Linked DNA regions of Zea mays. The protein of the gene in region 1 binds, or shares a complex with, the protein of each later gene. Links are inferred from orthologs where the notes say so. Each region holds a gene or a part of one and is shown on either strand. Other genes may lie near its edges.

The links.
Region 2: DNA repair helicase UVH6 (region 1) and General transcription and DNA repair factor IIH subunit TFB4-like share a complex: the UniProt entries of both Arabidopsis thaliana proteins name them as parts of the 7-subunit TFIIH core complex. The link is inferred for Zea mays from reciprocal best matches to the Arabidopsis thaliana genes UVH6 and AT1G18340.
Region 3: DNA repair helicase UVH6 (region 1) and REX1 DNA Repair family protein share a complex: the UniProt entries of both Arabidopsis thaliana proteins name them as parts of the 7-subunit TFIIH core complex. The link is inferred for Zea mays from reciprocal best matches to the Arabidopsis thaliana genes UVH6 and AT1G12400.

The regions. Positions count from the first base shown.
Region 1 is NC_050105.1:91,195,922-91,200,221, reverse strand, and holds the start of DNA repair helicase UVH6, read right to left. Parts: upstream 2,806-4,300; 5' UTR 2,581-2,805; coding exon 1,757-2,580; intron 1,614-1,756; coding exon 1,531-1,613; intron 1,436-1,530; coding exon 1,032-1,435; intron 943-1,031; coding exon 749-942; intron 462-748; coding exon 281-461; intron 1-280. UniProt on the Arabidopsis thaliana protein: ATP-dependent 5'-3' DNA helicase, component of the general transcription and DNA repair factor IIH (TFIIH) core complex, which is involved in general and transcription-coupled nucleotide excision repair (NER) of damaged DNA and, when complexed to CDK-activating kinase (CAK), involved in transcription by RNA polymerase II.
Region 2 is NC_050099.1:247,477,388-247,481,628, reverse strand, and holds the start of General transcription and DNA repair factor IIH subunit TFB4-like, read left to right. Parts: upstream 1-1,326; 5' UTR 1,327-1,532; coding exon 1,533-1,563; intron 1,564-1,665; coding exon 1,666-1,754; intron 1,755-1,904; coding exon 1,905-2,175; intron 2,176-2,250; coding exon 2,251-2,306; intron 2,307-2,447; coding exon 2,448-2,485; intron 2,486-2,563; coding exon 2,564-2,609; intron 2,610-3,017; coding exon 3,018-3,071; intron 3,072-3,162; coding exon 3,163-3,231; intron 3,232-4,124; exon of another isoform or gene 4,125-4,241. UniProt on the Arabidopsis thaliana protein: Component of the general transcription and DNA repair factor IIH (TFIIH) core complex, which is involved in general and transcription-coupled nucleotide excision repair (NER) of damaged DNA and, when complexed to CAK, in RNA transcription by RNA polymerase II.
Region 3 is NC_050101.1:47,599,484-47,602,735, reverse strand, and holds REX1 DNA Repair family protein, read left to right. Parts: upstream 1-1,438; 5' UTR 1,439-1,624; intron 1,625-2,086; 5' UTR 2,087-2,116; coding exon 2,117-2,151; intron 2,152-2,253; coding exon 2,254-2,431; 3' UTR 2,432-2,670; downstream 2,671-3,252. UniProt on the Arabidopsis thaliana protein: Component of the general transcription and DNA repair factor IIH (TFIIH) core complex, which is involved in general and transcription-coupled nucleotide excision repair (NER) of damaged DNA and, when complexed to CAK, in RNA transcription by RNA polymerase II.

The DNA.
Region 1 (4,300 bases):
TAGACTTATAGTCTTATTAAGTTATTATCAATATAGATAGTTGAATGGAAAATCTAAAACAGACAACAATATGGAATTAGATGCTTAGACACCATTTCATATACTTACTATAAACCGATGATGTTCCAGAGGACATGCCCAATTATCTAACAGATATGGACGATTTATGAACTTAGCTGAGTTGCATAGGTGTTACACGATTAGACACATCCCTCATTGCCATATCTATATTAATTGTAGGGTTTATATGAGAAAGAAATTTACAAGTGAAAGAAATAACCTGCAGAATTCCCATTTCGTGCCAGCTGTTGACAATGCCATCCATATAGGAATAACTGACAAAAAAGCAAACTATGCCATCTGGAACAGCAGAAGCCATTTCCAGCAAGAGGCGGCCATAATTCCTCACAACACCAGGATCACTACGCATATCGAACTTTGTACTCACAGGTAGCTGATCACTGAAGATGATGGAATGGTTGGTGTTTACACAGTGTACAATGCTACCAGTAATATGAAATGTTGGAAACAACTAAAGATGTTATAAAAGCTTAACATAAGTGTCATATGATTCTCAGGAATAAAAATGTATCATGTATACGCAAGACAGTGTTAGCATTTCCAAACCTAAGAATATGTTGACAATGCTAGCATTTAAAGACTAACATAAGTGCCATGCTTAACATAAGTGTCATGCTACAGTACAGTAGATTTTGAAATATGAAGTTCGCGTGGGACCAGCTCATACCTTCCTCGGGTCAAGACCATGGGACAAATACAATCTCTTGTTAAGGACATGGTGAAGCTTCTGCTTATGACAGGATTAAAATTCAAGAGACGAGGGTAAAGATCTATTGGGCTGAGAGTTCCAGAAGTGATCACAACCGTTTCGAAACGATCAAAAACAGGTCTTATTGCGAGTGAAGCATCATGGCAACTCAGCTGCAGAACAAATGAGTTCATTAGTAGCACACTAAAGAAGCAGAGTGTGTATACAATTTCAGCATGATCACAAAGAGTAGTCTGGGTACCTGAATAACAGGATCACGAATATCAGGCATTCTATCATCATACGGCTCTATTATAATAGAAAAGCCCCGTGTATAAGTTCCAATCAGTGTGGCAAAGTCACATATGGTCTGTATGTGCATGAACTCATCTGTATCAGTTATCTCTAATGTCATCATTAGGGAGTGTAGCCGGTCATAACAAAACCTCAGCATTTTTTGGTCGATTCCAGCCTGGGAATGGATTGAGGCAACAAAGGAAACTGGCATTTCATTCTCAACATTTTCTGTTTCAAGCCGGCCATCAAGGAATCTCACAAGCCTCCGCAAGACAGCAAGAAAATGTTCAGCCCTCCTTATGTTTCCAGGAACAGCTTCCTTCAAGATGTCATCAGGCAAAGACGGATTCGCGAGCCAAGCATCCGATACTTCATCACAAGAAGCATAATACTGTGAGCTATATGCAGAAGGCTATAGCTGACAGTGCGAAATGCAGTACTGGTGGCAAAAGGCCAGTGCTTACTTGGTAGATTTCCTCGCTGTGCCAGTCCATCCACCAGTCTGTTGTATTCAGCACGAAGCCTATTGGCATCGGTGGCCTTGAACCTTCCTACCAGATAAAGCAGTTGGCAAAGCAAGCTTAACTATCCATCACAAAGTTGAAGATGAATAGTTCTAAAGAAACAGGACCTATCGTTCAGTGGCTATTGGTGGCTGGCTTAAGTATATCCAACAATTGGGAGTGGTACCTGTCGATCTCTTGCGAGATGCGCCGCAGATTTCGCTCTGCGCCTTCCAGCGTCTGCTTGCGGATGCTGACGCTCAGCGCCTCTATGCAGACATTGTCAATGTTGTGAGCCTCATCGAACACGACCACACACTCCTTCTGCATCTCCCTGGACACAATGCTGGCCACCTTGGGGTCGAGCAGGTACTGGTAGCTGTACACCACAACATTGGCGTACTTGACCATCTGCCTGGCAAGGAAGTAAGGGCAGACCCGGCGCTCCCTTCCGAGCGCGCGGAGGTCTGCCAGGGTGTACACCCCGGGCGGCATGAAGGAGGCGAGGTCGCCGGCGGCAGCGGCCCGGTCGAACGTCTCGTAGAACTCGCACAGCGGGGTGGAGTCCGGGTCGGAGGAGGCCTTCTCGCGGACCCAGGAGGCCGTAAGGCGGCGGCAGGCGGTGTCGACGGAGTCCCGGGCGGCGGCGGCGGACGCCTGCGGGTGGATGCAGAGGTTCTTGCGGGAGGAGAGGCCGAGCGCGAGGAGGGAGCGGGAGGCCGCGGGCGGGAGGTGGGCGAAGAGGAGGCGGAGCTCGGCGAGGGTCTTCTCCATCTCGTGCACGGTGCGGGTGCAATAGATGAGGCGGAGCGGGCGGGCCGGGTTGGCGAGGGAGTAGGAGGTGATGAGGGAGATGAGCGCCGCCGTCTTGCCGGTGCCCGTGGGCATCTCGAGCAGCGCGTGCCCGCGCGCGTCGAGGGCGCGCTTGAGCTCCCCCATGTACGCGTGCTGCTCCGGGTAGATCGCCGCGTACGGGAAGTGCACGGGCAGGCCATCCAGGTCAAACCGCATTGTGGCGGAGGGGAAAGGCAACCGAGGGGCAACGCCGGAGGGGTTTGATTCGCCGGAGAGCGGAGAGGCGGAGACGGTGCTCGCGCCGCCGCCGCGGGGTGGAGATCACGTGAGGTGCTCGGTGGAATGCCCCCGTGCAGAGGAGATGCTGGTGGGCTCGTAATCGTAACGAGTATAGGCTTCTGGGTTGGGCTGGTACAGAGAACAGAGTCGGCTGCGAGCTACGGGCTACGAATGAACGATACAAAGGGTGGGAAGGCCACTCATAGCCCTCTTTGTTTCAGTTTTTTCGGTTTCTGTCCACCAAAAATTATTGTGGACGGTTAAACGCTCAACTTTTTAGCTAGCTTCTATAAAATTAATTTTGGTAAAACCATCTGAAATCAATATAAACACATAATCGGTTGAGTCGTTGCAATAATAGGAATCCGTCAATTTCTAGATCCTGAGCCCTATAGACAAATTCATCTTTCTTTGCACATAATCGCAACGATACTCAAATTCTCTACACATCCAGATTCTCCCCACATTCAGATTCTCAGAAAAGTTGAACCAAACAGGCCTTGTACCCCTAGAGTAGAATTTAAAGTACAACCTTCTGGGTTGGGCTCGTACAGAGATCTTACAATTTTTTATTGCGACGGCTCACAACAATATTGTGTCCTCCTCGGCAACACGCACGGAGAAAGGCCAAGAGCAAGACCGACACACCCCATATTCGTGTCGACGAGCGTCGGTCGGCTCGCGGCTGCAACCGTGGGCGGGGGAGCAGGTTGGGGAGGAAGAACATGGCGAAGGCCAGAAAGACGAGCGAGACTTCCGACAGCGGCGAAAACAATGGTGCGCGCATGCTATGAAACGTCCTCATGGATGTGCAATAGCCACTGCGTGGGTCGGTGTAGGGGCTGGTGTCAGACGAATATGGGGAGGAGGCGTCTGCTTCCACACCCTCCGCCGAGAATGGGGTGGCACGGAGGCGGAGGCATGAGGGGAGAGAGAAAAGAAGTAGGATGACGAACGAGGTGGTGACAACTGAGTCGAGTACTATCATTATCGTGCGAAGGTACAGATGATCAAATGTGTCGTGTCTGGTGGGCTAGTCTGAGGCACGACCCATTTAATAGTGTCTAGGCCAGCCCGACATGAGTGTTGTGCCATGCTTGGGCCGTAGCCTCGACCCGACACGATTATATATTTTTAATTTTACAAAAAAGCATATATACACATGTACAATTTATATTCAATATTGAAAACATCTGAGTATGATGTTCTACTGGTTAGACGATTTCACCTAGTGTCTCCCGCCATTCTTCCAATAGGCGTGGGTTCAAACCCCACCTTCGACACTATTTTTTAACATTTTATGCTGATTTAACCAAATGGCCCGACGGGCTAACGGGCCGGTGTGTCGTGCCTGGGCCAGAGCTGCGGTCTGCGGGCGTCGAGCCCGTGCCAGGCTGCCGTTAAGGGGACAGGCGTGCAACAGGTTAATTTGAAGTAGATGTGATGTGTTATTTGTAAAAAGATGACGCAGAACGACTGTTGAAACTCATATTTTAATATAGTAGAGATATAGAGAGAGATTTTAGTGTATTTTGGTTAGTTCTATTTGGTTTAAAGCCTTAGGTGGCCAAGCCAAAATTTGGTCAGTATTTGACCATATTTGACTCTAAATTAAAATTTGGTCAGATAATAAATTGCTCATTTATATAGCTTAGGT
Region 2 (4,241 bases), on another chromosome or scaffold:
ATCCGTCCGATAGTATGGCGGCGCCGCCATCCAACGACCACTAGCCATTCGACCATTTCCCCACCATTTGGTGCATTTCCGGATTCCCCAAGGCCCAAACGCAAGTCACCAAAACGGCAAAACTAGACAACCCGCCGACCGCCGCAACCCTAAACCTAAAGTCCTAAACGGCTAAACGCTCAGTCGCTCACACGTAGAGATGGTAATGGATACCCGAAACCTGAATACTCGACGGGTTTTACCCGATATGAAGGCGGGTACGGGATGATTTCTCTACCCGCAGATATGTTAATGGGTAAAACCTCTACCCGTTGGGTAGACGGGTATGGGTACGAGTTGGTACTACCCGTACCCGTCTACCCATGGGTAAAATATGCCCGCATCAATACCACTATAACCATCTAATAGAGCTCATCCTAGCTAAAATAAAACTCTTCTTTTACTATCATTTGTCTAGATACCAAGTTATGTGATTATATGATTTGTTATATGTGAAGTTGATTTTTTTTGCATGTTTATTTAATATTTTGAGTGATTGGTATATTGAAATTTAAGACTTTCCTATCGGGTTCGGGTTGCGCGACGGGTAAAAATACCCGCGCGGGTACGTGTATGGGTAAGATTTTATACCCGCAAACATATATGGGTAATCCGACAGGTAGATTTTTTTTGATAGATACGGGTATGAAATGATACTATCGGACGGTTGGACTGGGCAAAAAGAATCGGAACCGAGGAACCGAAACCGAACTAACCGAACCGAGGAACCGTTATGAAATTTGGTTCTGTTTTTCTAAGAACCGAAATAAATGAGACATTTTCGGTTCTGCACTCCAAAGAACCGAAAAACTCAAAAGTATTAGATTCAATTTGTTACATGTGTTTGTAACTTCGGATGTTGTGTTATCAACTTATGTTGAACCTCTAATCATCCATGTATTATTTATGAAATTATGGTCATTGCGCACTTGTGGTTGTTTATGGGGAGATGTTGCTGAAATTTGTCACAAAAGTTGTCGTTATTCAGAATTTTAGAGTGACTGTTATAGTTCGGTTAGAACCGAGGAACCGAACTGAAGAACCGAGAACCAAATTAGTCGATTATAGTTTTTTTTATCTTACTATTTCGGTTCTAGTTTTTAAAGGACCGAATTTCTACAAGAACCGATGAACCGAACCGAATAACCGAACGCCCGGTCCTACCGGACGGGTATGCCCGTTGCCATCCCCACACGCCGCTCACACGCCGCCTCCCTCGTTCTCGCGCCGACGCTCGCCGCACCGCCTCCCTCTCCCTCGTTGTCGCGCCGCCTCCCTGTCCCTCGTTCTCGAGCCGCCACACCGCCTCCCCAGCCGGCCAGGTAACACACGGCGGCTCTTCCCTGCTGGGCTTCGGAGCTGCCAGTCTGCCACGCCGCCGCCCCAGCAGAGAGGCGAGCACCCCCGCCGGCGCCTCGGAGCTTTGAATTGGCTGGGCGCGCGACCGGCCTCTGCCGCCGGGCCGCGAGCAGCAGCAACCCCCCTCGCCGGCCATGACCTCCGCTCACTCCAAGCTCTACTCCGGTGAGCCACGCGCCACTCTTGCATCCCCGTACTCCGCGATGCCCTCATGGTCCTAACACACACGCGCTCAACCCATCTGGTGCCACCCGTCGGCGCGTGCAGATGACGTCAGCCTCGTCGTGGTCGTCGTCGACACGAACCCCTTCTTCTGGGCCGCCGCGGCGCTCCCCTTCGCCGACTTCTTCGCGCACGTATGCAACCCTAACCCTCCATTTGCTTCCCTGCGCCTGCTTCCTTGTTCGATCTTCACTGGCGATTTTGTGCGTTAGATGACTCGTTGGTAGCGGTGCCCTGATCCGTCCATTGGGCCTTGGCTTGATGTGATATCCATGCCCGTGCAGCTGATCCACTTCGTGAACTCCCTCCTGCTGCTGAACCACCTCAACCGTGTGGTCGTCATCGCGGCGGGAGTCAGCTCGTGTGCCTACATCCTGGATTCCAGCGATGCCAGCCCCTCCGGTGGTGTGGCCGTCTCGGACACCTTCGACAAGGCAAGCCGCAAGGCGGAGGAGTTCATTGCACAAGATGCGCGCGCCACTGCAGGCAACGGTTCCGTTGCTTCTGCCAATGCCGCGTCGCTGCTCTCTGGGGCGCTGTCCATCTCTTTGTGCTGTATCCAGTCGCTTGAATTCCTTGACTATTGCACATTCACCTATCTTATTTGTGCTCGTGTTGCTTAACATTGAGGTTATTTAGATATACAGAGGATTTTCCGGTCTGGGTCTCGGCATCCACAACCTCGGGTGAGTGTAGAGTTCTGAGTAATGTTTAATTTCATCATTTGTGATCAACAAATAATGCTTTGTTTGGCCCATAATTTGTTGTAGTCAGTATTCTCATACTTATTATAATGCCACGGCAGTTGATACTAACACGAGATACAGATTTTGTGCCTGCAGGGATCTCCAGACGGACCTGAACAGTATGCACGCATCGTCATCAATGCAGTTTCTAGTTTTTTTTCAGGACCTAGTTTTCACTTCATCAAATTTATGTGCAGATATGTGGCAGTGATGAATTCAATATTTTCTGCTCAACGTTCCATGGTATCACATCAATTGCTTAATCCATTTTAGTCCCATTGAGATTTATTGATCTTTTCGTTTCACCAGCCAGTCACTATGTTGTTACTTATTACTCCTTCTGTCCCAGTATATAAGGCGTAACCACCTCTGGCTCAAAGACCAAGAAATGTATTTAATTCTCTCTATACTTTTGCATCGATGTACGCATGTCTAGAGATAATACGCCTTGTATTATGGGACTAGAATAAAAAGTAGTTACACCTTATACACTAAGATAGAGTAAGTACTTAATATCCAAATTTGACACATGTAGTGGGTTCAGAAAGAGCAAGACATTGGAATGTGCCTATGTAGATATGCATCCATAATTGTTCCAAAACTTTAGCTACGGTGGCTTAATGACTGGCAACATTCTTACTAATCTCTTAGGTACCAATTGACTCTTGTATTGTGGGAACCCAGGATTCTGCTTTCTTGCAGCAGGTAATGCTCTTTAGTACTCATCAAATTCATCCACATGTTATACTGTCACAACATCCTCTTGCTGACTAGTTACCGATATTTCATTATGCAGGCTTCGTACATAACAGGAGGAGTTTATTTGAAGCCACAAGAACTAAATGGCCTGTTTCAATACCTTGCCGTAAGTTATCCAGGCTCCCTCTGCTGATATTAATATATCAGCTCATATAGTTCTATTTTTCCTTTTGGGGGCTTTTGAGAATGTATTTATATCCCTACTACTCTATAAGTCCTCATTGTAGGCGTCCACATGTGCGTCATGTTCTGCCTCTCGACGCCCGCCTGCCCGCGCGTCCCGCTCCTGCGCGCCCCCGCTCGTGATGCCCGTCCCGCCTCCCCGCTGTGGCAGCCGCCTTCGCGTCCACCGCGAGATCCCCGCCCTTCCCATGGAACCCCGCTCTGCACCCCTCCCAGAGCTCTGTCGTGTCATCCCCGCCCTGCCCCCCCTCGAAACCCCGTTCCCTCCGGCCCCGCCCTCGCCCTCCTCCCACTCCGACGCACTCGAGAAGCCGTTAGCCAACGCCGCCGCTTCCACCTCTGAGTCCTTCGTGGCGCTCAAGGCCCATTATCCCCCGCCTCCCCCTCCCGTGCCGCCTAGGTCTCGTTGGATAAGATGTCGATCCGGGGTCGATGAGCACTAGACCTTCTCCGATTCTCTAGCGACCCTCCCCCACAACCACGGTCTCGCGCGAGCTTGGTCGGCTTCGTCAGCGAAGCTAGGCAGCAGGCGTGGGCAGTCGGGCTGGTCCAGGGACGCCAGCTCGCATCTGTCGGTTTCCATCCGCAAAGGTAGCAGCAGACGTCGCCGTCGACTGTCGCGGGCACCGACGACCAACACCACCTTCCCTTCGGCCCAAGATCAGCATCTGTAAACGCCTTTGACCGTCTGTGCCTCGATCCAAGCTCAAACCACGGGCAAGCAAACACATCGCATCTCCAACCTCCTCGGTTCGGTCGGCTACCCCAGATCGACAGCTTTCAGGTGTGTGTTCCCCTATTTTTTTATTTTTTGGATGAACACTAATGGTTATGAGGTGAATAAAGTGGCGAATAAAGTACCCTGCTATGAGTTTGAGATAATTCAATGTTGTGTGAGAAAGAGCAAAACCTTGTCACACTTTGCCCACCTGA
Region 3 (3,252 bases), on another chromosome or scaffold:
TAGGTAGAGATGGTAATGAAGTCCCGTTCCCCGCGGAGATATTACAAGACGGGGATAGTTACAATTTATTTCAATGAGGTATTAAAATGAGAAAGAATCATCTCCATCAGGTTTAGCGGGGACGAGTATGGTAGTCTCTTCTTCGTCCCTAATCCTCACGAGCCCATATAAACAGGCACTAAAGAATTCGGGCCATAGAATTAAGACTCAATGACCGACATATATAAAGTGACCAGCAAAGTGAGAAAACTAGCTTCTATTCTGTCATCGTCGCCGACTCGACTCTCTCGTTCGTCCTCCCAAATCCCAATCTCCCTCGAGCGGGCGGGCCAGGCAGCAGACCAGCTCTCCAGCGTGCTGGGTGCAGGGCTGCACCGCTACAAGCCGTGCAGCACACTGCACATCCCCTCAGGTTTGATTGTTTGAGACCGTCACAGTCATGTTCACCTGGAGGCTGGAGGCCGCTGGCCGCAGGTCTCTCACTCTCTTTGTCTCCTCAATTACTACTACCTAACACATCTTTGGTCACTTGTATTAGCAAATCTTGGGCAGCGGCACATCTGCACATGCCGTGCATTCATATAGCCACGTCCATGCTGCACGCACAAATTTTATTTTGTTTGATAATTACTTCCCCACCAAATGAGCTACGTTCTTGTCCAAAATTATAATAAATGCGCAAGTGATTTGCTGTGTGGTGGTGTGAAGCTCTGCGCGAAGTGATTTGTGTATTTTTTTCTCCTTTTTCATGAAATTTCGCAATTTAAGGTCATCTAATTTATTGGGTATGAGTACGACAGTTTAAGTATCAAATTTATGAATACCTAGTACCTAGTTAATCAGCAACCTTGCAGACCTAAAATATCCTAGATTTGTAGTAAGTTTTTCACCATCACCTTTTCAAAATTCTGTTACACAGTGTGGTTCCTCACTGAATTTTAAGTACTGTCATATGACAATTTGGTTCTGCTATTGCTGGACATAAATTTGTAATTCTCTGTTCACGCATTACACCGAACAACTACAGGGTACGGAGGGATTCAACGACAAACATAATAATCGCTTCTATTATTTTCGTAGGGGCAAGTAGGCCAGTCATCAACCGAGGTCAGCTGAGTCAGGAGAGGAGGAAGTGGCCCTCGGGTGTTCCATGATTCGTACGCAATTTTTTTTTTGGAAATTTAGATTCATACCATTAAAAGATCACCACTTTGGATCCATACCATTACTATCTCACTTATATATAGGTCCACATGAGTCAATGACATGTGTGATCCATGATATATATCTAAAGTTTGGATCTTTTAATGGTATAGATCTAATTGTTCTTTTTTTTTTTTGTGGACGGAAACTGCGGTGTCAAATTGCAAGAAATGGGTCGGACCGTGGGCTGTGAACATGGGTTTGGTGGGCGGGCGAAGAAGCCAGCGGGCCCAGCATCTTTATCGTCTGCCGCAAAGAGGGCTGAAGGAGAAGCGAGGAAAGGTGAGGCCGATAGATAGAGGAGCTGCGGCGCCGCCGGCGAGCGAAGAGTGGAGGATCCGATCCGAAGCGAGAGGACTGAATCCTGCGGCCGGGAGGGACGCGGGACCACGACGAGCGTCGTCGTCGGTGCCAAGCAACGGTGAGGCCGTCTCGGATCTGAACTTTTTTGTTTGGTTTTTTTCCCTCCCGTTCTGAATCGACATGGTGAGAGCAAGAGAGTTGGGAATTGGGACGGATCATGGAACTCCCCGAGGGCCACTTCTTCCTCCGACTCAGCTGACCTCGGTTGATGATTGGCCTACTTGCCGCTACGAAAATAATAGAAGCGATTATTATGTTTGTCGTTGAATCCCTCCGTGCCCTGTAGTTGTTCGGTGTAATGCGTGCACAGAGAATTACAAGATATCCGCTGAGATTATGCGCGCAAGAAAACGTGGAGCATCTTGCTGACCCTTTGTTCTGTCCTTCAACCAATCCTACAATCACTGCGACACCAGTCTATCACCTTCATGCGCGTCGTTTTCGTGCGAAAAGTTTGCAGTCCTGGTGCTGCTTCTTTGGTACTCCAACTGACGTTGTTTCTGTGTGGCGATGTAACCAGGCAGTTGTCCCTGTCCAGAGCACAGGCAAGATGGTTAACGCGATCAAGGGGCTGTTCATCTCCTGGTAAGCTCTCCTGACGCAGCTGAAAATGAATCCCTCGTTTGCATTTCTCCCTCTCTCCCTGCCTTTACATGGTTGCCGTCCGTCCGTCCCTCTATTTTTCAGCGACGTACCTATGGCACAGTTCATCGTCAACCTGAACGCGTCGATGCCGCCGTCGGAGAGGTTCATCGTGCACATGCTCGACCCTACCAACATGTTCGTGCAGCCTCACGTGGCGCACATGATCAGGAGCAAGATCGGGGAGTTCAGGGACCAGAACAGCTACGAGAAGCCGCAGTAGTGGAGGATCTACCGCGTCCTACACTCCTTCCTTGGGACTTGCTTTCGTTGCCTGTATTATTTCTGCTGTGAGCTGAGCACCTCAGCGGAAACGAGTACGCCAAATAGATCCCACCTGTGGCCTTGAAATCATACTGCTATGTGCTATAAACGTGCAGAGGGCACTGCTACTGTGCTGCACTTGTGGTATTCTGGGATTCTTTTTGTCAGGTCCTTAAAATCCGTTGAGAATTTGAGATCCAGATGGGGCTTAGACCCCGTTTCAATCTCACGGAATAAACTTTAGCTTCCTGCTAAACTTTAGCTATATGAATTGAAGTGCTAAAGTTTAGTTTCAATTACCACCATTAACTCTTCTGTTTAGATTATAAATGGCTAAAAGTAGCTAAAAAAAGCTGCTAAAGTTTATCTCGCGAGATTGGAACAGGGCCATAGTCACGTATATCTGTGCCTTTATTTGTATGTATCTTTGTCTTGCTATGGACAACAAAACTACGGTGGCACACTAACAGGTAGTTTGGAAATCCAAATCCTCTAGAGATCCCTATATTTTCCCTCGGTGAGTAATCCTAGGAACATTATCTGCATAAGGGCTTGCTTGAGAGCAATGATATTCAAAATTGAATAACATGAGAATTTTAGACTCTTATAAGCCCTTCTAGTATTCTTGCTCTCAAACAAACCCTAGGATTAGGGCTGGAAACGAGCCGAGCGGTGCAGCTCGGTGGCCGACCGAGCTCGGTTCGGCTCGTCTGTTTCACGAGCTGGAGAAACAGGCTCGGTTCAAAGGCGGCTCGCGAGCCATACCCTGATATTATATAA